4 linked regions of the Rhinolophus ferrumequinum genome follow. The protein of the gene in region 2 purifies or fractionates together with the protein of the main gene of each other region. This does not show direct contact. Links are inferred from orthologs where the notes say so. Each region holds a gene or a part of one and is shown on either strand. Other genes may lie near its edges. The genes, in order: ING2, SINHCAF, RBBP7 and SIN3A.

Region 1 (8,078 bases), on a different chromosome or scaffold from region 2:
CCAGTGATTATCAGCCAGAAAATATGAATAACTGATATGTGTTTTACTTTTAAATTTTTAGGTATACACTTATTTCATGAATTGCTGTGTGACTGTGGGCAAGTCACTTAACTTCTGTGGGTCCCACATTATTACCTGTAAAAAAACGTTGGTCTGTAGGTGATCTATAATAGGGATCATCAACCTTTTCCCCACCCCTAGAGACATGATGGTTATGACAAAGTACGATCAGTGGCAGTGGCTTCCCCAACTATTCACTCAGAGAGGCTGTTGCCTGCTCTCCTTTCTTTTGGGGAAATAAGTGATCTAAAATTAATTTTAGCTATAAAATGTCAATGAGTCTACAGTTGGTATCTACAATATCAGCTATTTAATTTTGGACCAATTTTTAAGTTTCACTAGCAAAATTAGACAACAATTTCAATTTTGAACATATAGTATAAATCTCTCTTCCTTAAATTTGAAACCCTTTCCCCTGCTTTTAGGAAACATAATTGCATAATTCAAACTCCTTCAATACTGTGACCTAGTTCCCCCTCTTGATGTTATAACCGGCTCATGTAACTATGGTAACCATCCAGGGAAAACTGAGTGTTTTTCTGGTCAGCAATATGCAAAGTATAACATATGTGTGTGTGTGTTTTTCTCTCTGGCATAGCCAAAGTAGATAATACGTGTTTTTCTTCTTGGTTATGGGAATGATATTTTATTATACTGAATTTTCTCTTGACTACAATCCCAGTCATTCACAGCCCCTTCATAATGTTTTAGGATCTTTTGCTGTTAGTCATTCTAAATGCTGAACAGTACTGTAACCCATAGGATTGATTGTATGCACCAATTTTAAATCTGTGCTGTCTACCTCACTAACTAAATATACAGGATGACATTGCTCAGATTTCTAATATTCTATCTTCAGAATCTGGTGTTTTCTTAATTTTGTCCTTTAGTTGTAGCCAAAGTGGTTTCTTAAAGCAAAAAACTGAAATGGAATTACATCTTGGGAATACACTTAGGTACTGAGAAAAGTTATCTCATTTGCAGTGATTTTCATGTATCTTCATTTTAGCTCTATTTTTTTCTAGTTAGTGTGTACTACTTATGCAATGATGCAATTAAACATGCTTTAAAACTCAGCTTAGTGGAAACACAGACCGTTAGTATTTTTTTTGCTTGTTGTACTAATGAATTGATTTAAAGTTTTAGGTTATTTTCAGTACAAAATGCTTCCTTGAACCTTCTAGACCTTATACGTGTACTCTAAATTAATACAAACTCCTAGATTTTCAAGGATTTCAGTTGCATGAGGTACAATTACATTTCTACAGCGGACTATCAATTGTTGACCTTCTAATTTGAAGATTTTGTTTGAAGTGATTTTGTTGACTTTCCCTGTATTTTTAACAGAGCTTTTCAACCATCCAAATATCTTTGTTAGAAAAAGGTTGCTATCTGCTTCACTGATTTAAATAAGGAATTAACTGCTCTTGCTGGTTTAGAAAAGACCTCACTAACCAAATGCAAAGTGTGGAACTTGCTTGGCTCCTGTTGAACAAACCAAGTGTAAAAAGATATTGAGACAATAGGGAAATTTGAATTATCTGTATAGTACATGATAGTAATAGCTCATTTTTTGATGGGATAACAGTATTGTGGATGTTTTTAAAAATTATCTTATCCTTTTTATCTTTAAAAAAATTTATTTTATTTATTATAGTTTCAGGTGTACAAAACGATGTAATAGACACTTAACATTTATACCCTTCACAAGTTGATAACCCCTCTCCCCTAATCTACTATCCCTCTATTTACAGATAACAAGAATAGTAATCCAGCAAGGGTAAGGAGGTTATAGATAATATTGGCCACATATTGGTAAATGTTCAAGCTTGGTGAATAGTGTATTAGGATTTATTGTACTAGTACCTCTACTTTTGTGTGTTTGAAAATTCCATAATAAAAAGTTTTTAAAAAGTATTTAAAAGTGGAAAAAAGTAAAGGATTTCAAATTTAATTGGCCTGCCTCAGCGCAGGAGCTGAATTTTCTCAGGAGATATCTTTAGGAATCCTTCAGAACTACTGGCTAGTTTGTTGTCCGAGTTTGAACTTGTTGCTTTGCCTTCTAACAGTATAAATAAGGGCAACAGGACATAGGGTTAGAGACATAAACATTCCCTACCAGGGACATCTTGAAGTAACTGATTTAGAAATTAAAGGTGATCCCAGACACTTCTACCAATTTAGGGTGTCAGTTACTTACCTTTTTTTTTTTTTTATTGGGGAACAGTGTGTTTCTCCAAGGCCCATCAGCTCCAAGTCAAGTCGTTGTCCTTCAATCTAGTTGTGGAGGGTGCAGCTCAACTCCAAGTCCAGTCACCATTTTCAATCTTTAGTTTCAGGGGACTGTGTCCCCCGTCCCATGTGGGAGTTGAACTGGCAGCCCTATTGTTAAGAGCTCGCGCTCTAACCAACTGAACCATCAGGCCGCCCAGTTATTTATTTTTTTTTAGGGTTACTTTATAGTAGAAAATATATTGAAGAGCAAATAAGATGCCTGTTTTGCTTTATTCATAGGGTTAACTTCTTTAATTAACCAATTAACTTCTTTGTTGCAGAGAATTGGATACTTTTAAATATTTCATTTAACAGAGTAAAGGAACCCCATCAGAAAAGGCCCCAAATTTCCAGTTAAGTGACTACTGAGAAGAAAAGGACATGATAAATAACCAAGGTCAAAAGTTGAGTTTGGGGAGTACGGTGATTTATTTTTTTCCATGTAAGTACTCGCCCCACAGTCTGCTTTCACAAGGATGGCAGGAATAAGCCTTTGATTAACTTTTATAAATTAATATAGCAAGAAAAGCACATGTCTGACATAATTTACATACACATGTATATTACTGTCTTAGAGTGTTCTTTATAGGTTTAGACCAACACAAACTGAAAAATCATTTTTTTTGTATTTGGTTCCTTTCAGCCTGTTCAACAGAATTTTGAATGGTGAAAAAACGCTATAAAAGGTCTCCATTCCCATACTCACCCTTCTTTCCTCTCACCTGGCTCTAGGTTCCTAGAGGGAGTACTCTAGGTATTTTGAATCATTCATTGCCTTTTCTCACTTCTTTTTTCTAACCATGTGTCTTACTGCCTGCAGATCACTTTTCAGGCTGAATAAAATCGGTAGGTGCATTCAATGTCTAACCTGAATCGATAAATAACAAGGCATCTTGCATTAATTTGGCCCTTCAATAAAGACTAGCTGATTCAAATCTATGAGTAAACAAAAACAGTAGGGTTCAGGTAAAAAGCAATAAAACTCAATTCTTAACAGCGACTGGTATTTTACAAGACCTGACTTTAATCTGAAAGATTTAAAGAATGGCAACAAAATCCCTGGACGGTTCTCAGAAATGCAATGCACTGTACTGCCTGGGTTGACTTAATATTCAAGTGGTCGAAACCTCAGTGTCGCAGGATAAAATAACACAAGACAATCTCCACGTACTGTGCAAGTTATTTTTTTGTTCCTAAGACGTCGCATTTCCCGGAGTGCTTTGTTTTGGGCAGAAATGTAAAATTTCCTCTAGATCAAGATGTAGATTTCTTTTTGCATGTCAGTGGTTACTTACTATTAACAGCTGTTTCAAAAATGCTCTAAACAGGTCACCGTACAGGAGGAGTACCACCAATGCAAACAAACCAGATACAAGGAAATCCAAATTTATCACCCACTCACGTTTTCTTTTTAACTCAAAGGTACTACTCACAATAGGGTTTGTTTACATAGGCATTCCGTTAAAATTATCAGTGTATCCGTTCTATTTACATTCATTTCTTTCAAAAACACGTTATCACATATAGTGAGAGTCCACCTGGAATTAAAATAAGCTCCTCTGCGTGGCATTTCACACTAGAGAAATTAAACCCTGACAGTCGATCACGTAGTTAAGGCCGTGGGTCTGAATCCGGATTAGTTTTTTACTTTCGTTTATACCCCCTTCTTCCTTCAGGCCCCTCAGTATTTTTTAAGTCTTAGAGTAAAAACATATAAAAAGTTGGTGGTGTGTGCCTCACGCCGCCAGTAAGCCCTCGCTGACGTTTAATGCGTAAACATTCTGACTCACGGAAATTTTTTTTTTTTTTTTTTTTTAAATTAAAGGTTGTCTGTCAGTTAAACACGTTTCCTGGGCAGGCGCAGCCAGAACTAAACGGGACTCCTGAAGAGCTGGAGGGTGGACAAAATCTGCAAGGCACTTGGGCGCCGGGCGACCTCCCGCGTCTGAGGAAGGGCGGAAGCACGCTTAAGCCAGGAGGGAAATTTAAAAGGCGGGCTGACTAAAAAAGAAAACGCAGGGATTCGCGGGTGCGCCGCCTACCTCCGCGATCAGCCCCCGGTGCCCCGCGGGCCCGAAAGCCGCGGCTGGAGAGACAGAGCCCGAGGGCAAGGCAGAAGTGGCGGCCGAAGCGAGCTGCAGCGGCCCGGCGGGAACACAGCCGCCACGCATGCGGGAAGCTGCGCCCGCTGCACGCTGGGTCGCGTAGTTCCCGCAGGCCTTACTCCAGGTTGCGGCGAAAAGCAGCAGCCTGCTGGTCTTTTCAAGGCTCGCGAGGGGCCGCGCTAGATCCACCGATGAGGAAAAAGTCGGTAATACCGGGCGGAGGGAGACAGGCCAAGTTTCCCTCTCCCTGGGAGAAGGACGGAAGGAAGGAGTCAGCCACCGTCCCCCTCCAGTCCCATTCAGATACTGGGCAGAGGGGAGGGCCTGACAGTGCTTCTCCTTTAAAAGGGGGCGGGGCGCAGCCTGCCGTTTGGCCTTCCTCCGCACCCTCCCCTCGGGCCGAGAGTTGACAGACCAATCGCCCGGGTGGCGGAGGGAAGGCGGGAGAATGCGAACCCTTGTGTAGGGCGGTAGGGGCGGGCCCCCGGCCTTATTAGGAGCGAGTCCTGCGCAGGCGCAGACGCGGCCGCAGGAGGAGGGGCGGGGGTAGTCCAGTGAGAGACTCCGACAAGCACAGAGGGTGATTGGGAGAAAAGGGGGCAGCGAGCGGCTTGTCATGGGGATCTGAGCTACGACAAGGCATTAGTAGCATCTGGGAACTCCGAGGGGTACAGGACGTGTCAAAGTCCGGGACCCCGGCGCCAGCTCCGCTGGGGGGATCCCCGCTGCTCTAGTCCTGGGGAGGGAGGGCAAAAAGGAGGGAGCCCTGATCTCGCCCCGCCCCTGGGCTTGTTACCGCGGGGGCGGGGAGTGAGGGCTTCTTTTGGGGGGAGTGGAGATCGGGGGACTCGGCTGTGCCCTCTTGAGCTGCTGCCGGTGTCCCCGCGGCGCCGGGCTGCGGAGCAGAGGAGCCGCCGCGGCCGTGACTGTTGCATGTGTGGCTGCTGGATGCGGAGGCGGCGGCGGCGGCGGCGGCGAGGAGCAGCAGCGACGGCAGGATGTTAGGACAGCAGCAGCAGCAGCAACTCTACTCGTCGGCCGCACTCCTGACCGGGGAGCGGAGCCGGCTCCTCACCTGCTATGTGCAGGACTACCTCGAGTGTGTGGAGTCGCTGCCCCACGACATGCAGAGGAACGTGTCTGTGTTGCGAGAGCTGGACAACAAATATCAAGGTAGGGGGCCGCGGGGCTGCCTGTGCGGATCCTCCCCTCACTCGGATCCTCTGGCCTCCGGGCACGGTCGCTCGGACTCTGCCCGGGGAAGTGACACTTTCCATCTGTCCTGTGATTGTCTCCTCGAGTGCACAGAGGGGGTTTAGTGTGTGGGACGGGGGAGACGGACGGGAGACCGGGCTCGCGGCCCTCCCTTCCCCTGCTGCGGTCGGCGAGGACTTCGATGGGGTCTCAAGGGTGGGGGTGGGGGCCGCTCGTCAGCCCCCGCTGCAGACCCAGCGGCTGCAGCTGGCGTGAAGAGGAATCAGCCATTTTAAGCAGCAAGCATTTGTTTCGGCACTGGCTTGCCCCGTGCCGCAGACCCTCCTGCCTCGGTGAGGGAGCGTGCAGCCGGGCGGAGGGCCGTAGAGTGAGCGGGCGGGCACCCGCTTGTCTCCGGGGCCTGGCTTCCCTCAGCCCCCTTCGGCCCCCACCCCCTGAGAGCAGATACATTGGAACGTGCGGGGGGAGGAGGGGAGAGAGGGCCGCGAAGGCGGACTTCGGGGAGGTCCCTCCCTCCGCTCTCTGGCTCCGGGCTCGGGAATCGGAGAGTCCGTACTCCTCTCCCGCCCCAGGTAAAGTTCCGGGCCGTACCCTTTTCCCAGCTGCTTCAGCCACATGGTTAAAACGGGAGGGGTCCCTGCGGGGAAAGGAAGAGGGATGTGTGTGTGTGAGTGTGTGTGTGTGTGTGTGTGTATGTATGTGTATGTGTGTATGTGTGTGTGTGTCGGGGAGGGCACCCCCTGTTCCTGGGGGCGGGGCCTGAAGGCGTGACGTAGGACATAGGAGGGGCGCGGGCGCTCCTGCCCGCCTCGAAAATGGCTGGTCGCAGGAAGGCTTGGGCGGAGCTGTCTGGTTGGGAGGGCGTCGGAGCTGTGCAGGACCTTAATTCATCCCTAGCAGAGTCAGTATTGGGGTTTGGGACATGTTGGTCGTGATTTTCCGACTGTTCCCCAACCACTCAGTTATGATGAGGATACAGTCAGCTCCTGGGACCGCCACTAACCCTGGCTCCTCGTAGTTTCCGGGCCTTGCGTTACTTCCGGGACCCAGGAGGAAGTGGGTGGTTGACTGGGCAACCGCCTGGCGTCCCTTAACCCTTGGGTCGCTCCTCTGCCAAGTTTAAATCATGAGGCAAAAACCACGCTTTGTGGTCAGACCCAAAAAGCCAGGACAAGGAATCAACCTTTCTTACAGAGGTGGACCTTTCGCCTGCTACTAGGAGGGGAAAAGTTTAAATGGAGAGCCACTGTGCTTTTAATAACCCTGAATCAAGGAACCAGACCTTGGACATAATGTGGAAGCAGCCATATGGACTTTAAACAGATGACTTCTTGGACCTGTTCTCTGCTTTCTAGCCACGTCGTTAATCTTATGATTTAGTTTTTAAGGAAAACACTTCACGGGTGACATTTCTGGCCCTTAGCATGTTAGAAATTTAAGGGTCTCTGTGCTTTGGAATCTGTAATTTATTTCTGCCGTTTGAATCCGTGATTGATAGGACAGATCTCTGTTGGGGGGAAGAGAACTGATACTGATTATTTACTGTGTTGCAATCGCTGTGCCAGGTCTAGAACATCATCTCATTTAATTCTTACAATAATCCTATGAAGTTGAAATTCATTTTATGGATAAATTATAATTTACAAGGAGTTTAAAAGTAACTTGTCCAATTAGTTGGAGAATATTTGACTTCACAGTCTGGCTTCTTCAGATGCACATCCCTGTTTTTAAACTCTTTTAACTTTTTGTTTTTTTAAAAAATAAAAGGTCACCAAAGGTATTTCCTACAGTCATGGAACACATATAGTACATGCATTGTAACCCAAAAATGATACATATGTGCTGAATAATTGTATATTGAACATTTTTAGTTTTTTGAATAATAATAGGTCTGAAGTGTGTAAAGTTTGCAGGTTTTTACATTTCTTTAAAGACTGTATTCGCCTTCACAAAAGTTAAGCTATTTCTTTTTATTTGAAATGGGGGTGGGGGGCAACAATTTGTTAGAAGGAAATCTTCCATTTTGACCATCTAGAATTGCTGTAAGTAGTTCTGGTAACACGAGAAACAGCATTAAATCGTAAAAGATTGAGAGATTGTAAAATTTTTAGCTCCATTAAGATTGTGGTTAGTTTCAAGATCAATATAAAAACAACAATCTAGTTTTCACTCTGTGACATGCTTACTAAGTTCAGCTTTCACAGTTTTATCTGTATGAGCTGTATATATTTGTGTATTCTTGGTTCAGATTTCATTTTTTTTATTTTTTTGCTAGTTCTTAAGTATTTTCTATTTTTGGATCTAACACAGCAGTATTTACTGATATAAATTATATAGGCAGTCAAAGAAATTTCTCTCCTACCTTTCTGAGACACTTTTAGAAATTACTGAAGAACCTTAAAAGTAATTTTAACTTAAAAATAG
Region 2 (7,754 bases):
ATATTTAAATTCTACCCGGAACTCGGCTATAAAATACGAATTAAGAAAAACAAAGAATCTATGTATTCGCAAAATACTTCATATGCATTTTAAAAACAGGACCCAGAGTAATAACTGCCCAAAGGGGAGCCATAAAGTTATTAAATCCAAAGTTTTTCATTTTGACGTGCTATCTACTCACTTCAGAAATGTACTGTTTGTTACTAATATTGGTTGCCATTAGGTGTTTGTAATTTGGCCAAGCAAAACTTAGGAGAAATGAGTTTATTTAATAACAAAACAATGAAAAGTACAAAACAGACTTCAATTTGTACATTTTTTTCTGTGTGTGGGCGTGGCAGCTGAGGATATTATTTTCCAGTAATGACCACTTTTAGATTCTAACCCTTAAATATGATCTAAATGTAGGAGATGTCAGGAAAGATGCAACCGACATGGTGCTGCTGCTTATCGGATGTCTAGACTGAAGGCAAACCCTAAATACCAAAGAAGCATCCATGTGTCAAACCAGCATAAATTTTGAGCTATGCCTGGGGCAACGTACCCAAAAAAAAGTTAGCTATGAAAAGAAAATCCAAGAGGGGTAACCAGAAGGTCAACCGAATTCACAGGAACGAGGAGGAAGCTAGCAGGGAAGGCGAGCCACTGCCCTGTTGTCATCCCCCTCGCAGCTTCCTCCCAACCCCCATATTTAATCTCCAAGAAAGGCCCAACTCCTTATTTACACGCTTCTTCAAGGTCATCCGAAGATAATGCAGTGAATAATCACCACACATTGAGCCAAGCAAACCTTCAGGGCCAAGAAAGATCGCCCTTCCCCAAATTATTATAAAAATACTTCAAATGCCATCAGGCTTTTCTCCAGCTCCACCAGAAACAAACTCCCAGGCTTGAATTTAAATTGAGCAACTAATAAACGTGTTAGGTTTTGCAACAGAAAATTATTCAAAGGCAAGTGTGGCAAACTCAAGTTCAAAAACAGGTGCTTTCAGGGTAGTTTTACTGACAAGGTCAAATTCATTTTTTAAATAATTATAAGAAAATGGGAGGAGGGGGAGTTTTCTTAACCTTCCTTCGGACAACATGAGGAGCTCGGGGAAAGGATTGCTGGGGTAAAACTGTGTCGCACAGTGTCCACCCTTGACTAAACGTTAATTCCTCGTCTAGCAATAGAGGGTTAGAGGAAGAAAATAAAAACAAAGAAACCTACTAGGGTCACAGTTACCAGAACAAACTCTGCACCTCCCTACCACCCCAAGAAACCTCCCACCCACCAAAACAAACCTCGCCCCTCCCGGTTCCCCCTCCCACTCATAAACACACAAAGAAAACAGCAGCGTGCACCATTCGGCCACAGTCCTCACTTCCCTTTGTAGGACAGCCGAGAGCCCCGAAACTTCCTCACGGTGGTTTTCCGTGTGTCGTCGGGGCTGGGTTCCCTGAACGTGCGAGCCAAGCCTCAGCTGCGGGGATTGGGGGTGCTCGCCGCATTCACCGGTTTCCCCGAAAGCAGCAAAATGCCTCTCCCGTCCTCCCACGGCCGTCGGGTCCCCGCCCACGGCCTTTGGGTCTCCCCAAATTGCGCTTCTCCCTTGTGCACGCGGTGACCGCCGAGAAAGAGGCAACAAGGCAGCAAATACAAATGCTCCCGGGTGGATTTGTTGGTAAATAAACCAACTTTGGTCGGGAAGAAAGTTCCCGTGGAGAGCTGCTGGCCCTGGCGAGGGCAGCCGGAGGTGAACTGCGTCCCTCCTCCTCCCTCACCTGCGCCGGAACAACGGGCCCCCGCACCCTCCCCGCCGCCCGCCCAGCCCGGCGCCTCCCGCAGGCCGCGCCTCCCGCACGCCGCGCTGCCGGGGCTTGTTCCTCCTCATGGCTTTACCCTGACGTAATTCAAACATGGCAACAGTTCGACTTCAAAGGCGAATCCACAGACCTCCCAGACTCAAGCTCCGGGCCGCGGGTAACCGGCCAAGAACTCGGGGCCACAATCTCCCGGCCCCTGAGCCGTCGCGGTATGCGGCGCTGGGGCTGAAGCTGCAGGACCCCAAGACACTGCCTCCCTCGCCCGCCGGCCCGGAGCGCGGAAGCCTGCCGCCTCCCCGTGCACCAGCATGGCACCTCACACAAGTAGTGCCGCCAAAGTTTCCCCGCGAGGGGCTGAGGGACAAAAGCCCCTCCCGAAACTCGCCCGAACTTCGGGGGGCCCAGCCGGCACGGCCCTCCGCCCGCAGCCGCCCTGAGCGCCAGCGGGGCCCGCATGGGCACATGCAGCTCTTTGTTTTCTGTCCAGCCCGGCGCTGCCTACGTGCAGCATCAGGATGTCGGATTGTTTCCCAGGGACGAGACACTTGACGATCACCCCGGGGAAGGCTTGGGACCCCGCGCCCGAGAGTCCGGAGCCCTGTCCTGCCGTCCTCCCCTCGGCTGCAAACCCATTTCATCAAAGTTTGCCCTGTCCTTAATAAGAAACGGCCGGATTACCCGCCCCGCAACCGCGCGGAGTTGGCGACTTTCACTCTGCTTTTTAAACTGGCAAGACGCCATCATCAGCAAATCACATTGTCCTGCCAGGCGGCCGGACCCGACAGCGCCTGCATCTCACTGCTGACCTGGAGCTGGACACTCCGAAGAAAACCAGGTCGCAGCCCCAAGCACGTGGTCTGTCATGTTCAGCACAAAAAGGAGTGCCCTCCGGAGTTCTCTCACTCCTAGGGCGCAGACAACGCCGCTGACTCCATCCCCAAGTCAACTGGCTCTGACTGGCCATCTTAAGCCGCACACGGTCGCCCTAGAAAGCCCTCGCCGTGGCGCCCACAGCTACGCTACAGGTGAATACACTGCGAACAAAACTTGAGGCTCCACAGACACGTCGGACACCAGCGCTGCTTGGGCGCGGTCGGGGGAGAACAGGCGTGTGGGAGCCGCGGCTGTTTCCGAGAGGCCGCGTGTTGCTCTCATTGTCGCATCCGCATCCCTCCGGAGTTCGGCAAACAACGCCACGCCGCGTGCACTCGGCAACCCCGGCACCGACCCAAAGGCCGATTTAAACCCCCTCAAACCCGCCAGTTCGCAAGTAGACAACTTAGTTTCCGAGCGAATGGCGTTTATGGTCCACCCTTCTCAAAACACGCGCAAGGAGCTGCAATAAACTAAACCACGAGGTTCAACTACGGCGCCCGACCACTCCCGGGCGCGCGCCCACGCGATGCACAGACCCGGGCCCCTCCACAATTGCCAGCGAGTCGTTTTCCTCTCGGGCCTTTTAGCCACCGGGCTCCTTTCCGCCTGAGAACGCTGCGACTGAGAAAAGTCATTGTCACCTTCAACGTGGATCCCTCAACTCCAGCGACTCCGCACTCGTTTCCAGGCTCCACTCACTTCCCCCACCCCAAGACTTTCGGTTTGCCTTAAATCCCCTCCTCAATTAAAAAAGACGCACTAAACGTGTGCATACAAAAGAATATGGGGTCTCAAAATCACGAAAACTGCACTGCCGGCAATGCCATCTCCAAGACAAAACTTCGTGTGTGTATGGAAGGACTGGGGGTGGGGGGGTGAGGTGAAAAAATAAAAAATAAAAAAGCCACTGAAATCAAAGCCTTGTGAGACAGTTTTGCACCAGAGTAATGGTTAGAGTCACTCACCTTCCAAAGGCAACCGTTCCACGCGCAATAACGTTCCCGAAGTGCGGAGTGCACGCCAGGCCAACCCCCCCCTCCAATCGTTCCCTCCTCCTCAACTGCCTTGTCTAGAAAGATTGTCTCCAGCAGTTCTGCAGTTGCTACCGCTGCCCGGGAAGGTGTAGATTCCGCTTTCCCTCTGCGCACGCGCGGCTCCCGGAGCAAAATTCTCCTGAATTGAACTCATTTGCATACGGGCGCGCGCGCGTCGAAGGCGGGGAGGAGAGAAGGCCTGGCGGCCGCGCGCGCTCCCGGGGCCTCTATTGTCCTTTTAAGGGGAGAAGCGCCGTGGCGCGGGAAACGCGGCGGCCTGAAGGAAACTGGGGCGGAGACTGCTTACTATGGCTGACGTCACATAAACAAACGCCTCCTGTCTGGAGGCTGTGGCCAAGGGGGAGTGGCGGGATGGGAAAGGCGGAAAGGTTAGCAACAGAGGGAGAACACTAGACTGCGTGACGTGCTTTCCACCCTGAAGTTCTTAGGACGCACTATTTCGCGTTGAAAAATAGTTTTGAACGGTGTTTTTGCAAAATTTTCACACCTGTGCCCAGTTTCTGTGCTGAAGTGTTAGAGGAAGTGGTCTTGCAAGCGCCCAGACTGAATTTATAAATCCCCCAAGTTTCCTAGATTTTGTTTGAAGTTGGGTTTTTGAAGCTTTGTTTAATCCTGTGGGGCCAGCAGAGGTTTATTTTTCGTGTGGTTTTAATGAGTCGTTTAATAAAGTCCCATTTGACCCTCAATCCATTCACTAACTCCCGCCTGCCCTCCTCAAACGGTAACCCAACCCATAACAATCCAACTTTTTTTTTTTTTTTTTAAGGAGGCTGTGGCTTAGAGTGGCCCATCCGGGATCAAACGGGCAACCTTGGTGTTATTAGCACTACGCTCTAACCAACTGAGCTAACCGGCCACCCAATAATCCAATTTTTTATCTCCACTTTGGCCTTAAGATTTCAAGCCTGTGTGAGTTGAAGGGTTGTTAATTTCCATGGAACCACTTTTCTAAAAGACTAGATTACTAGCCAGTAATCTAGGGATGCACATACCTCCTCCAGCTGTTTATAAAGTGTTTCACTCATCCAGAAATACTACTAACTGGTGGTCTTGGGAATTGAAAAAGTAGCCAGTGAAATGTAGACTTCCTTATGGAATACAAGTCAACGTACAATTTAAATGCTTCTTGCCCCAGGAGGACAAAACAAACAAACAAAACTGAAGTAACTTCTCAGATTGACATGAAAAATGAAAAACAGAATGATTGTGATACACGTTTATTCTGAGAACACGCCTCAGACCAATAGGCTGAGAAGCTGATTTAATAATAGAGGGGGTGGGCGTTGGGGAGAGAGGAAGGATGTTTTCCCCCCAGAAACTTGATATTGGTCCCAAGCTACAAACGTGTGGGCATCAACCATAAAACTTAATCATCTGCTGACAAGTTTCACCGCTTTCATTGTAGTGTCAACAATGTGCATTTAAATAGATGCTTCTGAACCGCTCATTTAATTCAACAGCCAATTCCTAATATATATAAGACAAACCCCCTTCTGAAATCTTCAACTAAATGCTTCTTTTTTTCTTTAGGTTCTGTAACATATTATTTCTGTAACTGTATATGAAAACTCTATATTAAATACCTGTAGAAAAAAACTGACATCTCACACTAAAATGTGAGCTCCCTAAAGGCAAGAATTTTATATTGTATTCATTTTTGTACTCCAGTGCATAACACAATGTGCAGCAAATTAACTCTGAATAATTCCTTGTAAAATAATAAATCAATGGATGTTTTCAAATTTATTATAGATTTATCTCAAATCAAAACAACTTTAGAATTTTTGTATTTAACCTAAAATGAGTCTGGAAGTTATAGTGTTCACCTCAATTGGTATGATGCCTTTCCTTATCATAATAAATAAAACAGAATAAGCTTAATAACTGTTTTTGGGCTTTCATTGGTGGCAAAATGGACCCTGAGCATAAACTCCGAACTTCTTTTTGAAGAAAATTTTTAAAAGTTGTGCTGGGTTGTATCAAGTACTTATTTGCTTTATGACAGATCCTCCAAAAATAATTTCAAATTAGTATATGCTTTTGAAAGTATGAAAATAGCACAATTTTTCAAACTTCAATTATTGCTTACAGGATATATATATATTTTTATATAAATATAGAAATTACATATGTATTTATATAAATCTAAAAATGTACCTTGAATGCCTCTTCTCTTGAACATTTATGTAAAGAATATATATGGTAATCCTAGGATGCAATTAGGTTCAAATGTTCAAGCAATGCAGGAATTACAGTATTTAGGATATACTGTTCAGATAAAGTACCTGGAAGCTTCAGAGCTACTGAGCTACTATACAGCAAGACATCCTCTGCTCTCAAAGTAGAGGTCGAGAAGTAATCTGGGTAATTTTTGTAGGAAAGGTAGCAACAAAATCCTTAAAGAGAAACTCAAGTTCCTTAGAGTCGTAAAAAAAAACCAAAAAAAAAAAAAAAACCTCCTGCTATTTTTGAACAACCAGGTGCATTCCAAAGGTTCTTTTGTTCATTTTGTTGCTTGACTGCATTGTTATGGCTGACTCTATCCAGGACAAACAGCTCATTTATGGGCTACTTTAAAATACTATTACCTAAGTAGTCCAAGTGAATTTTTCATCAGGAAGAAAGGGAGAGAGGGAGGGAAGGAGGGTGGGAGGGCGGGAAGAAGGAAGGAAATAAATTTGGATTACAGGAGATTGAATTACACCACGTTAGAAAAAATATTTGAGAATATTTTAATAATTATAGTGTTTAACTCATACTGAGTTCTCAAAAATATTGAAATTGAAATTATAGTAAAAATTGAGATTAAATTGAAAATAAGTTGCCAGATACTCAGTTAAGCCAATTACCTTCCTTATAATATATGGTCCCTCCTATAGAATTATCCCTAATGCTTGAACATTTTCATTCATTTAGCAGATATTTAATTAGCATAACGATATGCCAGATAGTACAACCATTTCAGAAATAGAGAGGCTCAAGCCCCCTCACCTCTTCTAATTTATTTCTATATAATTCTACTTTGTTTGCTACATTTTCTCCTGCAGTATTTATTACCTTCTTTTGAGACTTTTTGTCAGCAACTTTACAATTATAATATTTTTGAAATGGAGGATAAATTATATATAAAGGACCAAAAAGGACAATTCTTGCTTGGTAATGGATGTTTTTATCAATAATTTAGTAATGGTTGTAATGACAAATCAAACTAATGGTTGTTTTTTAAATGAAGGCTGATACCCTCACCAGAGGCTGGTACCAACCACATCAAAACGTTTTTGTTGAGCCCAGGAAAGAGCTGATTATTATTATTAAACATTGGGTTTGATTCCTTAGCAGGTAATAGCTATAAGGCTAAACCTTTTCCTCACACCAAAACAAGCACAGTATTTTGTTACCTATTTGTTTAAATCCTTTTTAAGTTCACCTAACGAGTGGTCCAAGCAAGTCAGATAATTTTAAGCTATAAGGTATAGAATTGGTTATATGATCCAATAATCCTCCGACAACCGTTGACAGCTGCTAGAAAAAGGTGTCTATTACTTAATCAAAATTAACTTTTCAAATTTCTGAACTTAAAGAATTATTACATATTTATTCTTAGGAAGAGTAATCTCTGATTTTTTTAGAAGTTATAAGTATTTTACTACTATCTTATGACATCTTTTACTACTATCTTATTTGAATAGCATACTTTAAAAAATAAAATTACTGGTAACAAAAGTAATTTCAAGAAGGACATTGACAAACTAGAATGAGTTCACAGGAGAGTAAATCAGAATGATGAAAGAAGCTGAAAACCACAACAGAAAACCAATAATTAAAGGAGGGACTGTATTTTGATTGAGCAAGAAAGCAGTCTTTGACTATCTAAAGGACCATCATTAGAAAAACGAACAGGCTTGTTCTTTTATGCTAAGGAATCAAATTAGTCTTGAGAATTACAAGAATGTAGATTCTTGCTAAACATCAGAAAAATATTTAAACATACGAATAGTCCAAAGATGATTCAGGATA
Region 3 (7,809 bases), on a different chromosome or scaffold from region 2:
TCCAATATAAATCCCTAACTAAAAACTCAAGCGAACAACTTGCTACTAGAGAAAAAGATGGGAGGAAAGATATATGTAAGTACTTCATGCTGGCAGGATGAGTAAGAAATTGCAAACAACTGACTCCACTCTGGGTAAGGGAACTAGGAGAATGTGGAAGGGGGATTTATTTTTCACTCTATGCACTTTCGTACCATCTGAATTTGAATGACTGCAAAGCTTTTTAGGTAGAGATTAAATTAGTCTCAATACATTTAAGAAATTATTTAATAAGGTAATATAAAATAATGATCTACCAGTTTTGAAAAGTAATTTAAGAAACACCTAAATAATTTAAAAAGCCAAATCAATTATGTGGACAATTACCTAACTCAATTTAAGGACAACAGCTCAGAAAGTGCAAGTAATCATTCAGAAGAAGGTTGTATGTAGGCAGAAGGCCTTGTGAGGTTGAGTAGGGTCGAGTTCCTCAAAGACCCAAGCCGTAACAGCAGCCAACATTTCTACTGCTCTGTATAGTGACAAAACACAATCACAGTCCCTTTATACCCCAAAAAGAACCCTGCAAAGCACACACAGCAATCCTCAACATCCAAGAATGCAGGCTGGCTGGCATTTTCTTGCATTCCCAGAGCCACTGCACGTCCCACAACCAGATCCCACTTCTTTGCATGCAAAGAACACCATGGAATACATAATTTACTTACAGTATTTTCTGCTAAGTTCTTAAGTGTTCATATAAAAGCAATACCTGGACTGAAAACATACAGATCTATTATCTTTAAAAAAATCTTTATGCAAAACACATTATAGGTACCATTTTAAAGACTTCAGTAAGCAGCTTTCATTGAAATCCAAATGGAGAAACAGTGTTACTGCATCCTCTCTAACAAATTATTTCTGAATAGGAGTCAGCACCAGTCACTGCTGTGTACTTACCCTGCACCAGCACTTTAACATGCATGATCTTATGTAATTCCCTCAAATGTAAGCAGTCAGTACAATCAGCACCTCCATTAACAGACCAGACAAGTCAGGGATAGAGACTGACCAACTCGCTCTAAATTCACAAAGCTACTAAAAAGGGGGAGGATTCAAGCTCAGGTCTCTAACCTTAAAGCCCTCACTCTTTGCTATTGTTATAGTCAGTCAAAAAGCTCCAAGAGAATGTAAATTAAGAGAATGTAAATCCGCTTAATAGGAAGACTCAAAGAGTCAAATGCACAGGAGTACCCTTAAGTAACTGATGCTCAAAGTTATTTTAAATGTCAACGTTTAGAAGTCTCCATTATTTAGTTCTTGGCTACTCTTCCCACATCTATATTTTTACCCTGAGATTTCTTTGGGAACTTAAAAGGAAGCCCCTAACTGTATGGAAGTCAATGTTCATATATGGAGAATCTGGCCATTATGAGTAATTTTATATAAAATTAACTTACTCTATTTTTGTAACTTGTTGCAAAATCCCGTTCTAGATTAGAGTTTGATTAATCCTCATTAAATTATATGCACACAATACCCAAGTTTAATACGCTTCTAAAGTGCACGGTCAAGTTCCTACAAGAAAAAGTCCAAATGTATGAGGAAGGTTGTCTAGTGCAGGGACTACCTGAACTCTGGGGCTACCTTTTAGATTTGAAAGCCCCTCTCCACCATTTGCCATCTGTGCGATCTTAGGCATGTTACTTAACATCAGTAAAACAAGGATGATAAAAAGTAATCAAAGTACTTATTCTCAATACTAAACCAAACAACAGAAGGTAAAAAACTGTAGATGTGCCAGGCCCTGTTCTAAGTGCTCAATAAATGTCAGCAATTATTACCAGAGAAATTTTAGAAATAGCTGAAAACAAAACACGCTTATGAAGACCAACAGCAACCTCAAAGTGTATTTCATACTGTAAGCCAGTAATGTCACTTTTTTTTTTTTTGAACTGTTGCTAAATTCTTTTCCCCTTTGCTAATTAAAACGTATGCATCTTGGGGGCTGGTTATATGGGTGTGTTCACTTTGTAAAAATTCATCAAGCCACATGCTTATGATTTGTGCACTCTTCTGTACATTTATTTTTCAACAAAGTTTGAAAGAAATCCATTCATCTGGGCCCAGAGAGATGCTGTTTCATATTTAAGCCCAAGAAATGTTAAATATATCTGGTGCTTCCAGCAAATATCATTAATCTCACAACAGATTCTTTCTCCCACTTCAACGCCACACTTATACATCAGAAATCATCCCATAAACCGCTTGTTAGTTTTGAAAATAAAAAATCACCTGCCACCTCATCCAAGGGCTAAATTGATTACATGCTTATGTTCTACATAGAAAATGCCAAAAGTAGGAAATTCAGGCCAACAGTGAAATTTGTGCAAAATAAAAGTTGCCAGGAACCCTTACTTAGTCACTTCAGGAAGCCACTGAACGGTAAGACTTGGCCACTGAAGAGCATGGGTCATAACCAGGTCATACAGAAACGGTGTATTCTTCTTCCAGATTTTATATTCTTCATTGATGACACGCTCCTCCACAGTATCTTCAAACACTGAAATTTGGAGAAAGCCCATACGATTAAAGGGTTGAGAGGGATCGAAGTCAAAACCTGTACACAGATACTGGAGGTCACCTCGAGAAGGCCACACCTAATCTACTCTTTCTCTTTACCTCTAATTTGGACTCGAACAACTAACTGCTCTTCCAGAACATGGAGAGAATATTAATACCAGGAAGCTGATTTTTTGCACTTTGAGATCAATATCGCCTGCGTATACAGAACTGGGTAATTACACGGACGTCGAAATTGTTTTGCCGATTACAGCCGTTCGCACCTGTTCTAAGATGACGACCCGTTCGTAGAGGGGCTCCACGACCCACCCAGGGAGACGAATCCACGTGTAGCAGAAAGCCACCGACCCGCTCCCTCCATCCCCCACAAGAGGCCTCCGCTCCCACAAAGCCGGCTTCGGCAGCCATAGACCGGCGGGTTCCAGAATTCCCCGGACAAGGGCCGCGACCCCGAGGCGTCGACGCGCGCGTGGAAAGAGCCGCCGTGCCCGCTTTCCGGCGGCGAAGGCCGCCTCCGCTCGGGGGCCGAGGGCGACGGAGGGAGCGCCGCCGCCGGAGGGGGGGGCAAAAGGGGGGAAGGGGGCCCAACCCGCGGCCCCGCGCCCGACTCCGGAAGTGCTCAGAGCCCTCCGCTCCGCGCCGCGTCCCGCGTAGGCCCCTGGAGGCGCTCGCCCAGCCTCGCGCCCGGCCCCGCCCCCTGCTCCGCACGCCAATTCGCGCCTTTCGCCGGCGCGTGCCGCGGCCTCGCGAGCCCGCCGCCCCCCGCGGCCCCGGCGCGCGCCGCCCCGCAGGGCCTCTTACTCTCTTTACTCGCCATCTTGCGTCGGGTTGTTCGCCCCTCGCCGCCGCCTCGGACTCCCCTCGCTTGCCAAGAGCAGCCCAACTGCAGGCGCTCCTGCCTTTCCCAGGCGCGCCACACGCTTCTAGTTCTCGAAGCCTGAGCTCTGTCTCACGGCCTGGGTGCTCCCCAGACGCCGAGTCCTTCTCTCCCGCCTCCTCCCCGCTTACGGGTACCGAGGACTGAGGAGCTCTTCTCTCTCTCTCTCTCTCCAAACTTGGAACGAGACTTTTCAACCCGCGCCTCCCAGCCCGCCCAGGCAGCTGAGCGCAGGCGCACCCGTCCTGGGAAAAGTAAGAGGCGGTAGAGAGGCGGGGTTGAGAGCAGACGGCATCGTCGTCTCGACCAATGACGTTTGATAGGTAGGTTTCACGCGGCGTTTGGAGGCGGGCTTCTGAGGGTAGGCGGGGCGTTCCGCCACAGGAAGTTGGCGAGGCGCAGGCGCGAGGACTCGCCCTGCGCTCCCAGGGCCGGGCGTGGGGGCGGATGGGGGCGCGCGGGGGTGGGGCGACTGGAGGCGAGGCTTGCAGGCTGCGCGGGGGCTGCGAGCCCAGGAGGCGAGCCCTGAGGCCGCGGGGCGTGGTTGCTTGCAGCGGCCGCGGCGGTGGGGGTGGAAGGGGGGCAGGGAGGCTGCCACCGCTTAGCCAAGCAAAATCTCAGAGCGAGAGAAGAAAATGGTTTCTAGTCTCGAGAGATTACTGTGCCCTCAAAGTCTCCCCGATAATCATGGGCATGCAATTCTGTGCACCCCGAAAGGTTTCCCTCCTGCCGACTGGCCTTTCCTGAGGCCTGGGCGAGCCTAGGTGGGGTTTGTCGGAGGCAAAGGGGACTTTTTGCAGAGGCCGCGGGCGTTTTGTGAGTGCAGAAGACGGCGGGCCTCCCTGTTAGGTTAAACCTGTGGCAGGCCGCCAAAGGCCCAAAGCTGACTTGAATTACATTTTCGTTTGTTCACACGTTTGGGTCCTTCAGACGATGATTTGCAGCCTCTCTTGTATTCAGAGGATTTTGTCTCTGCACTGGAGTTATTGTCTCCTTCCCAGCCCCGGGCCCCTGCTGAGTCATTCTTAGCACCTGCGGGGTGTCCCAGGGCAAACCCACCCGAAGCTGGCCGGGGAAAGCTGCGCGAAACTAACCTGGGCTGGCTTTCCTGAGCCCTCCTCTGCCTGGGAGCTTGGTAGCCCCTGAGGAGTGCGTTGGGGTGAGGAGAAAGCGGGCTGCAAGGCTAAAAGGGCCCGGGGCAGAGGGGACGGGGTAGGAGGAGGTGGTCGTGGTGCTACGTGCAAAGGGAACAATAGTCTATATCCAGACTCCGAGAGAGGCTCTCCCTGCATAAGCATCTCGCGGAACATTTGCTGCCTTGATATTTTCCAAGTGCCTTCATGCAAGTCACCATGGTGATTTTCAAACGAAATCGTGCATTTGCCGCTGTGATGCCCACTTTTCTGATCGGGAAACAAACCCAGACGTTAAACCTAGTCGGTGGCAGAACCACTCATATTACCTTATATAGAAATTTACTGTCGGGTGTCTTTGGTTTCCTATACGATATGCCTTCATGTCAGGCCCAGGAATCTTAAAAGACCAAAGCCGAGGAGGGGAGGCGCTGGAGAGGGAAGACAGTTGGGAGGGTGTTTAAACAATACAGCCATGCTCATGTTTTAGGATACTCGTTGGCAAACGTTTCTCTAACCAGATCGTATTTCAGGCTTTGGGGGCAACCACTCAACGGCCGCGTTGTAGCGAGAAAGCAGCCCTGGATAACATGGGTGAACCTGGCTGTATTCCAATAAAACTTTATAGACACTGAAATTTGAACTTTATGTAGTTTTCATGTGTCACAAAATATTCTTTTGAATTTTTTCAACCACTTGAAAATGGAAAAATTTTTGGCTTATGGACCATACAAAAACAGGCAGAGGGTTCAATTTAGTCGGAGGACTGTAGTTTGCCCACCTTGTTCTGGAATAATTGTGTCTTACAGCTGTACTTCAGTGGGTACCTCCTCACGTGCACAGCAAGAGAAGGCTTGGCAGACGATTTGATTTCCAGTCTCCCTTTAATATATTTTACTTATTTCTGATGGGTGAGCATGATTTCCAAACCTTATGAAATGTTTAAAGAGTTGAAAAATTTTACCAGACGATGTTGCTTTAAAATCTTTGTACTGTTCAGTTCACTGAGGGTCAGAGAAGGGAGTATGAAGCAGATACTTAGGAGTTTCTGAAAATATGCAGGCACTATCATATACTTAATCCAAAAGTATCATGTACAGCATATTGCATTAGCTGTGTGTGTGTGTGTGTAATCTATCAATTCTGTTTCTCTAAATTTTTTTTGGTCTTTTTTCCAGTCAGGTACCTTTTTTGCATCAAAAATGTAATACCAGTTTTCTCTTTTAAATTGTTTTAACTGTTCAGTTTTGTTTTTTGCCTTTCACCCCGACTTCTTAGCTCTGGTCCTCCTCTTTTCTCCCACTTTCTCTGTGGTTGCCTTTTTGTCTCACTTGCACTCAGCTTAGTCTACTCGTCGAGTAAGGCACCAATAGGTACATGCACAAGGTGTGGGCTACCTTAACTGAGAGAGGCCCTATTTAGGCACCTACCTTTCTCTAAGACTGCTTACCTCAAAGTTGCTGTAGTGTTAACCATCATTTCTCCATGCTGATGGTGTTTTACAGACTAGTACACTTTTATATAAACTGAAACAAGTTACACCAAACAGTGCTGACCTTTAATATGTGTGATGCACGCTGGTATTTTATTTCATTTTTTAAATATGCAAGTTACCCTTTACATTAATTTTGTGATCGCACTTAGTCACAACTTGGAGTTTGAAAAACACAGGACGCTAGGATAATTTTGAAACCTCTAGCTAGTTGCCTGAACACCCTTTATAAAATAGTAGCACTCCCTCATCTTGCCCCCACAGGTAATCACTCTCTGTCCCCTTTATGTTTTTTTCTCATAGCACTTATCATAACCTGACACATGTTTGTTCATAGGCTTTCCTCCTACACGAGAATGTAAATTGATGGCAGGATCTTTGTTTTGTTGTATTCCCGGCACCTGGGCCAGTGTTTACTAGATGAGGAAGCTCAGGCAGAGAGTGGTGAAATTTCTTGCCAAGGTCACATAGCTAGTGAGTGTTGGAGTTGGAATTTGAATTCAATCGGTCTTATATTAAGACAGCAAAAGTGATTGTGTTAGAATGAACTGCTTACCAAAAGGAATGAGAGAGGGAATATCCCCAAACATGGCTGCCCAGTGATTCTGTGTTCATTAGCATCCCTGTCTCACTAGTTTTTGGAGAAAATCTTAGCCATTCAGAAATATTTTTGAAGTACCTACTGTGTGCCAACTGGTGTTCTGGAGATACCTGGAATGAACAAGACATATAGAGCACCTGCTCTTTTATACATTCCTTTATCATTTGATTTTCTTATTGCAAACCAAAGCTCATTACAGAAAATCTGAAAATTACACAAGCAAAAGAGGAGCATAATGAAAACCAATTTTGTTTCTGGCCAAATCATTTTCATTCAAATCATTAGCAGCAGCAGAAAATACACAAACACATTAATAGCCATTGTCTCTTGGTTACCGGTATTATTGTGGATGATGGTTGTTTTATTCATATGTTGCTTTATTTAAAAATTTTCTCCAGTGGACAGGCATTACTCTTATAAACAGAAAAACCCCCATACATTTTAGGAAAAAATGTATAAACGAATGGTAGAAGAGTAATGCAGACAAATGAAAAGTGTTGTCTTAGTGTGATAGAATGCTAAGTAATTTCTCTTAAAATATTGTTTAATGCAGTTGTGTGAGAGAGAGCTGAAGGAAAATTATTGTAAAGTAAAAACTCACTGTACTTGTTTGAACCTATACTTTGTTTTCATTTACTATTGTGATATTTAAGTAAAGTGAAGTAATTGTTTTGTACTTCTAAGTGTGTTAATATTTAATCTTTGTAGGGTGTCCCTCTGGATTTCTGAAAGGCCAACTTACCCTGTTGTGTTAGCTGCTAATGTTAAGCAATGTGGGCTTCTCATTGGTGACACTGAATAAAGCAAATGACCTAGACCAGAATCCCTGGGGCTTAGACTTAGAATCACTGGGGCGTAGTAAATAAATATTTGTCAAACAGAAAATATTGAATAGGAAACTCCTCCTGGCCTCATCCCAATCCATAAGCAGTGACAAGGAAGCTTCACATGTGAACCTTCTTTTAGAAAAATTGCTCTGAGCTTTCCAGCCCAAGCAAGTTTTAATATACAATGCATTGTAATTTACAAGTGAAGACCGCTTCTGCAGTTCATTGTAGTGAAAATTTATTGTTAATCGCTGGCCATCAACCATTTTTCATTCTCCTGGAAATAGTGTGCTAAATCTCTTTTGGGTGAGCTCCTC
Region 4 (7,729 bases), on a different chromosome or scaffold from region 2:
TCATCCTTCCTATCAGTTCTCTTTACAATTTACATTTGCACCCGCTGCCTCCTCGTAAACACAAATATCCGGAGCAGCCGACAACTCCTATCGGTAAGTAGAGTGCAGAATTAAGGACTGGAAACCAAAACTGAGAGTAGCCCCAGGGGTTGCCAACCTGCTGCACACTTCCAACACCGACATTCCCTAAACCTGAATGAGCAGTCTTAAAAGGGCGGAGACAACCAAAATGAAGGAAGGTCCCTAACAGCCACCGCCCTGGCAAGCCTCCGGAAGGCGGAGCGTGAAGCGTAAGGCACTTGCGATTTCCAGGGAGGCATCTTCAGACTCGAAGAACTGAGGAAGGGGGTCAAACAGGCCATGGCATACATAAACCTTCACCCCACACTTCAGAGAAAGGATAAAAATTCGAGTTGGGGACAAAAAATAGTAAGAACGGCTGTTCACCTTCTCCTCGGCCGAATATTAATGGCAGAACATAGACCCTCTTTGTATAGGTTTTAGTGCCTCGAACACACAAAGTGGTTGCAGTGCCTAGGTTGCTTTTATTTATTCACCAGATAGAGCGAACTGACCCTGTCCTTGCTTTGGAGGGCGCTCACGGAGCGCCAGGAGAGGAGGGGGCGGGACTAGAGTTTTCCCGCTCTCCAGCAAAAAGGCCCAGTCCACAAGTGGCAGGCCCCAGGGAATCTCGGTCCTCCTATCTTGTCCTCCCTACGCAAAGCGGAGACGCAGAAGCCAGCGCTGGCAACAGGTGGGCCTGACTGCAAGGGTGGCTTCCAGCCGCAAGGACAAGGCAGCTAACTGTGAACCCCACGAGCAGCCGACAAATGGGAGCAGCCTTGCCGGGAGCCAAGCCCTGCCCCAGGACAGAACTCTAAAAATAAGTAATACCAACTAAAGCGAACCCCGGGCCAAATCCCCCGGAGGTTTCGAAGGACTGGCGCTTCTGCAGAACAGACCAGGGGCTACCTTTAACTCTGGGTCGTCTCCACTCCCTGGACTGGGTGCACCACGGCGCTCCCACCTCATATCAAGAACCACTGCGAACCCAAGCAGGATTCGGCCACCGCGCCTCCTCCCCCTCTCCCCCCCCCTTGGCCTCCTGACTTCTCTGTCAACAAGGGATGAGTTGCCCTGGATCCAGCCTAAGGCATCCAGGCCAATCCTAGATTGCTTAGTTTTAGATAAAGCCAGCTAAGGACAGCGGTTGCCTTGCTCTGGTAAGAAAACACACTGTCAGCGTCCGTAGCGTTCTCAAGCTTGAGCTCAGGGCGATCTTTGGGAAGTCAAGGGGCGCGGGAATAGCCAGGCCGCAGTCAGAACTTTAGTACTCGGCCCGGCAGGACAGATACCACCCCCTGCAGAACACAAAGCTCTAAGCCCCTAAAATACACTCCACACCCTCAACCCCTAACTTCATCGCAAAGGCTACTAGATCTCGAGCCTTGGAGGATCATTGTTATCTCGGCTCTCCCCGCCCCGCCTCGCCAAAGGCTCCAAGTCCGGTACTTCCGGGCGGGAGGACAGTTCGAAGAAGCAAGGCGGGTCTCACACGTGTGCCTACAGCTCATACAACCCGGGAAGGGGGCGGGAGGCAGGGGTGGACTTCCCCCTCCAAGCTCGCTACGCCGGAGGCGGGACGACATCCCACCAATCAGAAGTAGGGGCGGAACCTTGCGTGTCTCGTAAGCCGCAGGAATCCTCCCTCCGCCCTTCACGGAAAAAAATCCTAGCAACTTAAACTCCAGCCCGGCCTCCGATAGGCGGAACTCGGGAGAATGTCATCCAATAGATAACCGAGAAGAATAAAAGGGAGCCGCGCCCAACCAGTGGAAGACAAGAGAAGGCGGGCCCTCTAGAAGAGTCCAAGGTGGGTGGAAGACAGGAAAAGCTCCGCCCCCCAGTTCTCCGCGCCAGTTGCACAAGCCGTCGTCGGAGTAGATACGTAGTAAACAGGATAGGCCAAGCAGTGGATGACGGAGCGGCCGGGCGCTCTGGGGGCTCGGGCCCCTACTCCTCGCCCGGAGGCGTTCCGACTGACGGCAGCGGTTCGCGCCGGAGCCCCACCTCCCAGCCCGCGGCCGCCATCCCGGCTGACAGGCGCGCCCCTCCCCTCCCGCTGATGCATTTCCTTTTCCCGAGTCCGAGCGTGGAGACTGTTTTCCCAGTTTCCGACCTTCACTGCCCCTTTCAGGCCACCCCCTCGTGGGCGCGCTCGCACGCCCGCGCCCCCGCCCCCGCCGCCTTGGAGTGGGCGGGGAGGGAAGCAGCTCCTTGTTTGTGGGATCAGCTGTAGCAAGGGTCGAAGCCGCCGAGTTGCTGGAGCTTTTCCACACCGCCGGGCCGAGTTCCGCGCGGGCTCGCGGCCTGACTGGTTCATGGGCCGAAGGCCGGCTCTACCACCACGGCCCACGAATTCGGAACGCCTAGACCTACGCGAGGGGCTCTTTCCGGTGGCCTCCCCGCCCCCGGCCGCCCCTCCTGCCAGGCCTGCGTTTCCCCGCCCCCAGAGTCCATAACAACCGCGGGCCCGCGGCGCCCGCGCCTCCCCGGAGCGCGCCCACCGCCCCTTCCGACAAGTTTGCGGATAGAAACGAAACCCTCGGGGCGGCTGCCGCACTCGCCCGGCGTGGTTAGCGGAGAAAGCTGCGGGCCTCAGCTCGCTCGCGAACTCCAGCTCTCGACCCACTCAGCTTCGGAGGGCTCAGGCCGCTGCCCCCTGCCGAGCCCGCGCGCCGCAGCTCCGGTCCGGTTCCAGTCGGTGTGCGGAGTCCTTTTTTTTTCCCCCTTCACAATAATTTTTTTTAAGGCGTTTCAGAAGCATAGGGAGATCCTCTCCTGCCCGCCCCCTTACCCAGTCCGCCACAGCAACCTACCGAAACTGACTGCTCGGTGAAATAAACTAGGCAGCACGGTCAGCGTACTGGCTACCCCGGGCCGGGCCGACCCCCTCCCCACGGAGCCCCCTCGGCTGGGAAACACTGGCGAGCGGGCGGCGCCAAGAGCTCTCCTTCCTGGCCTGCCCCTTGCCTTCCTCGGACTCCGAGCCTGCCCAAGCTCCGTCTCGGGGCCCGCGGCGCCCGCACTGTGTCGGACCGGCCAAAGCGACCGCCCGGCGAACTAGCCCCCCAAACGGCGGAGATTGGGGAGACCAAATTAAAAGCAGCTGTTTAACATACCTTGCGAGCCAGGCGAGGAGTCCTGAATGGGGGGAACGCCCCCCACGGACCATTGGCTCCCAAGCGCTCGCGTCAGTCACCATCGGCCCGCCTCCTCCCCTCGCCCCACCTCTTTCCTTCATTGAACTCCCCCTCCCTCCAACAAATATATATATAGATAAATTAACCGTGCGTGGGAGGCGCATCTGTGGGAGAGGACCCTATCTCTCCAGCACCGCTGCCTCGAGATTCTTGAGGCTCTTGGACTGGAGGGAGACCTTCTAGGACTTGATCCACAGGGTGGGCTGGGAGGAGGAGCCAGTGAGGGTACCCCGCCCCCACTTCCTACACACACACACACACACACACACACACACACACACACACACACACACACACACACACACACAGGCACGCACGCACGCACGCACGCGCGGTACGTGGGGGGGTAGAAGGAGGCTATAGAGACACCCTAGCGACTGGCTGGAATGTCTCAACTCCCCTGGCGGTGTAACCTAACCGTGTATGGCCCATTCTGTTAGGCGCCTGCCTTAAAAATGAACTGTGTAAGCGGTAAGTCCTGTGTTAAGGGCAACAGGCACTTGTCTGAGCACTTACCGTGGGTGAGGCGGACACATTCATGTCGCACCCGCTGCTGGGTGCGATTACAGAGAATAGGCTGCTCACGGTGTACCTTACCAGGGCTCCAGACCCGGCTGAGGAGATGCTACAGAAGAGCTAAAGCAAGGCAGAAATGTATGTATAGATATCTTAGATATCTTAGATATCTTATCATAGGAGCTCAGAGCAGGGAGATTTTTTTCCTAGCTGGAGAAAACTGGGAAAGTCTTATGGAAGAGGTGGCATTCAAGTTGGGTCTTAATGATTTCATCAGGCAGAAATGGAGGGGCGAGTCATTTTCAACAACAGGCACCAAAGAGTAAATGCAAGACACTGTTAAAGGCCTCCCAGTGTGGTTGTAGTCATGAAAGTCAGGGTTGGAAAGATGGAACCAAATGGCAGAAAACTTTAATACCTGGTTAAAATTCTTGGACTTGCACAGTACAATGTGCAAGCAGCATGGTCACATGACTACAGGCTCAGAACTGTGGTGTAAGATGCTCAGCATCCCAGCAGCTGAGGGTGGGTTGAGTGAGGGGTGCCTACAGGCAGCAAGGTAAGGCACAAAGGCTGTTGTAATACTGGGTTTGGAGATTGCAGAGGTACATCTTCTGGTGGGAGAGGTAAATGGGGGGAGTCAAGAGGTTTCTTTTGTCTCTCCCAGCCACCCAATCCTGAAAGCCTTCAGTAGACCTCAAGTCATAGCTCTGATTCAGATTCTTCCTTGAATCATTTGCAGTGTTTGTCTTAACTTCCAAAAGGAGTTTCTGGGGGGCAAGGCTCAACAGAGCTGAGCCTGAGGCCAGGACACGCAATGAGTGAAGACCTATTAAAGAAAGGAAGTGTAGATGAGATGGTGTGTGCAGCATGTGAGAGCCTTAGAGTCCTGTGGTCAAAATGGGGGCTGCTGTCCGTTAGGCTGTCCCAACATTTCAGGTGAGCTGTAATATGGACTTGACCAGGACAGTGGCAATCGGTAAGCAAGGCTGTTTCAGTGTGGGTAGTGGAGGGAAAGGGGTCAGCGTCCTGCTGTGTGAAGAGGGAGAAGAGCTTGAGGCTACTGGTTAGGTAATCTGGGTTCTAGATTTAGCGTGGTCAGTAACTGGTGATACATCCTTTGGCAAGTCCCTTCCTCCCTCTGGGCCTGTTTCCCCAACTCGGAAAATGGGGATGGAAAATGGAGTTGAAAGACAGGCTCAAAGAACCCTTCCCCACTGAAAGTTCATGGGGCTGGGGGTCGGATGGGGAGGGAAGTTTGACACTGAGAGGGGGAAGGTGGGAAGAATTACTGATTAGGGAAGGGCAGTGTGTCCTAAAGTGGGGACTAAAATTTGGGTGGTAGCTTGGTGGAATCATTGAGGGAAAAGGTATGGAAGGGGAAAGGCCAGGAGCTGAGGACTGTGTATTCAGTGGGAGGCCCAGCACCTGGCAGGGCCACGGAGGTTGAAGTCCATTCTCAGACTGGGGGCTCCCTAGGGTGAGAACCAATTTTGACTATATCAGAACAGAGATCCCCCTGATATCTGGGGCCCTGTCTCAGATTCCTGCTCTATTTCCCAAGAAGCTGTGACCTAGATGAAGGCCTAACAGATACCGTGTGAATGTGAGATGAGACAGAGTGGTAGAGCAGAAAGAACATTAGAAGTTGAGTCCCATGGTTCCCACTTAGTCTCTCATCTGTGGCTCACCCTCCTGTGCTGTACAAGAAGATAACATAGCAATCCTTGCTCCGTTATGAAGATCAAATGGAATGATATTTAATACACCTCGTGAGGTTCTGAGCTTCTGTGGAGGCCAAAGGCCCAAGCACTTGACTGTAAGCCTGGACAGCACATGGTGTACTGTGGATGAAGTTACTTAGGGAGTATTTACAACTAGAATAGTTAATCCCACTCAATATAACCAGATTTTGCTGACATTCCCTACCTTCTGTGTGCACCACCCTGGTGGAAATCCCCTCTAGAAACCCCCCTGGATTGTGTACCTGTAGGACAACCACTAATTCACCTCGGAGCCCCCAGTGCCCAGCAGTCAGGCAAAGGAGGCCCCTTGGAAAGGAGACAGCAATTGTTTCTGACTCAGTACACTGATGCCTGCATAGCAGTGAGGACCAGGCTCTGGGAAAGCATTTGATTTGGCGACATGAGCCCTCCAGCTGCACCTAAGTTTGCATCCACCCTACCTATGCCCTACACTGTCAGTGAGGACAAACCAGCGAGTGGATGTGGGTGAGGGCCTTCCTTGGAGAGGTCACACTGAGAAGCCAGGTTCTGAGTCCCAGGAGGCCTCCTTTGTGTGAGTTAGGGATTACTATCCTATTTGTAGTTGAGCAAACTGAGGGTCAGAGTAGTAGAGTGACTTGTTCAAGTCAAGTAGCCAAGACTGTCTGGGCCCAAAGCCTGAGCTTTATCCATTCCCCCATATGTTGTCTGTACACACTAGGCCCGTGACCAGGCTGAGGTGTCTGGAGGAAAACAGCCTCCCCTCTTGCTCTACCCTTCTGAACTCTAAAAGTAGTTTGTTCCCAGATCATTCCAAATGATTTCTGGCCCTTCCACAAATATTATCCTTGAAGAAGCAAGATCTGTCTTCCAAGCACATACAGTGTCTTCAGCTCACATATACTCAAAACTGTCACACCTTCAGTCACCATGCCTCACACGTCTCTCTCTCTCTCTCTCTCTCTCTCTCTCACACAGTCATTCACAGAAAGGATTCAGTTCTTTAGGGTGCTTATGGTAGGTGGCTGAGATGTTGAGGCCTGCACGTCAGTGATTGTAAAAAGGGTGTCACTGCCAGTGCCCTGCTGACAGAGCCTCTGCCAGCTATAGACCATTGCCAATTTGGGAATATCCAGATGAGGGGCATGAGGCTTGGTCCCCACCCCCAACCCAAAGCATCCTATAGGTACGTTCAAGGGGAAAAGCTCAAGCTATTGGTCAAAATCCATTTAGCCACTTCCTAGCTGGATGTCTTTGGCAAGTCATTTATCTTTTCAATCTTCTTGTCTGTAAACTAAGTATTCCTACAGCATTGGGCTGTTGGGAGATTAAAGTATGCCTGGCATTTAGTCAAGTTCTCAGACCTTTTCTTCTTAATCCTATGGCCGGGCCACTGAAATGCGACGCCTCTCCCTGGTGCTGCAGTCTGAGGAGCCAGGACAGGCAGAAGGACCCACTGTGTGAAGAAACTCCATTTTTCAGGCTTAGGGTGTACATATTCTATGCTTCTGCTTTCCGGATAGCTTTGGAGGCTTGGAATCTTGTAGTGGGTTTGGAGATTGCCATTCACTGCCTTGAAACGTCTTCCCCTCACTGAGCATTAACTTACCCCTCTGGGCCACTTCTAGCCCAAATCTAGAAAGTAGATAAAACACTATGTTCCCCAGTTTACCTGACTTTGTTTTCAAAGTGTTTCCTTTTGTGTATCAGCTAATTTTATTGTAAAGCACCAGGTTCCTTTGTTCCAATGAAACAGTAATCAGAGGCCTGGCACATGAGAGAAAAGGGGGGCCATATTCGGTTGGCGACAGCCCCAGCTGCCTGCTGCCTCTTCCTTCACCTCCCACGCATGCCCCTTCTGTCAGTCCCTGCCCCAAGGGCCACTCTTGAACCTAGTTCCCAATCCCATTCATTCATCCCAGCCACTCCCCTCTCACCAGACTATGAGAACACAGCCTGGCCTTGTCCTTGGTTACCTCTATCTATTAATCAATCTTTCACCGGCTTTTCTTCCTCCTTCCTCCCCTAAATGTTGGTGGCTCCCAAGAGTTTCTTCTCTTCTTGCCCTCCTCCTTCTCTGCTCTCACCCACTTCCAAGGATCCTAGCTTCTATCTAAATTAAGTCTCCAATTGACATCTTCCAACACAGAATCTGCCTTGAACATCAGACTCCATACATCCACTGGCTGCTGGCCACAGAATAGGTATTAAAGGTCAAGGAAGGAA

Evidence for each region.
Region 1: the proteins of SINHCAF (region 2) and ING2 purify together in Homo sapiens (affinity purification with mass spectrometry; 3 studies listed by BioGRID and IntAct, counting the BioPlex papers as one, with this or other methods). This does not show direct contact. The link is inferred for Rhinolophus ferrumequinum from reciprocal best matches to the Homo sapiens genes SINHCAF and ING2.
Region 3: the proteins of SINHCAF (region 2) and RBBP7 purify together in Homo sapiens (affinity purification with mass spectrometry; 3 studies listed by BioGRID and IntAct, counting the BioPlex papers as one, with this or other methods). This does not show direct contact. The link is inferred for Rhinolophus ferrumequinum from reciprocal best matches to the Homo sapiens genes SINHCAF and RBBP7.
Region 4: the proteins of SINHCAF (region 2) and SIN3A purify together in Homo sapiens (affinity purification with mass spectrometry; 4 studies listed by BioGRID and IntAct, counting the BioPlex papers as one, with this or other methods). This does not show direct contact. The link is inferred for Rhinolophus ferrumequinum from reciprocal best matches to the Homo sapiens genes SINHCAF and SIN3A.

What each region holds. Positions count from the first base shown.
Region 1 is NC_046287.1:78,002,824-78,010,901, reverse strand, and holds the start of ING2 (inhibitor of growth protein 2), read left to right. Parts: upstream 1-5,057; 5' UTR 5,058-5,437; coding exon 5,438-5,612; intron 5,613-8,078. Other genes in the region: uncharacterized protein LOC117021196, read right to left, coding at 4,205-4,279, 4,377-5,057. UniProt on the Homo sapiens protein: Seems to be involved in p53/TP53 activation and p53/TP53-dependent apoptotic pathways, probably by enhancing acetylation of p53/TP53. Component of a mSin3A-like corepressor complex, which is probably involved in deacetylation of nucleosomal histones.
Region 2 is NC_046293.1:40,581,144-40,588,897, forward strand, and holds the start of SINHCAF (SIN3-HDAC complex-associated factor), read right to left. Parts: upstream 3,002-7,754; 5' UTR 2,671-3,001; coding exon 2,613-2,670; intron 1,747-2,612; exon of another isoform or gene 1,365-1,746; intron 1-1,364. UniProt on the Homo sapiens protein: Subunit of the Sin3 deacetylase complex (Sin3/HDAC), this subunit is important for the repression of genes encoding components of the TGF-beta signaling pathway.
Region 3 is NC_046284.1:113,990,206-113,998,014, reverse strand, and holds the start of RBBP7 (histone-binding protein RBBP7), read right to left. Parts: upstream 3,175-7,809; 5' UTR 2,971-3,174; coding exon 2,826-2,970; intron 2,543-2,825; coding exon 2,398-2,542; intron 1-2,397. UniProt on the Homo sapiens protein: Core histone-binding subunit that may target chromatin remodeling factors, histone acetyltransferases and histone deacetylases to their histone substrates in a manner that is regulated by nucleosomal DNA.
Region 4 is NC_046289.1:99,846,543-99,854,271, forward strand, and holds the start of SIN3A (paired amphipathic helix protein Sin3a), read right to left. Parts: upstream 3,273-7,729; 5' UTR 3,183-3,272; intron 1-3,182. UniProt on the Homo sapiens protein: Acts as a transcriptional repressor. Corepressor for REST. Interacts with MXI1 to repress MYC responsive genes and antagonize MYC oncogenic activities. Also interacts with MXD1-MAX heterodimers to repress transcription by tethering SIN3A to DNA.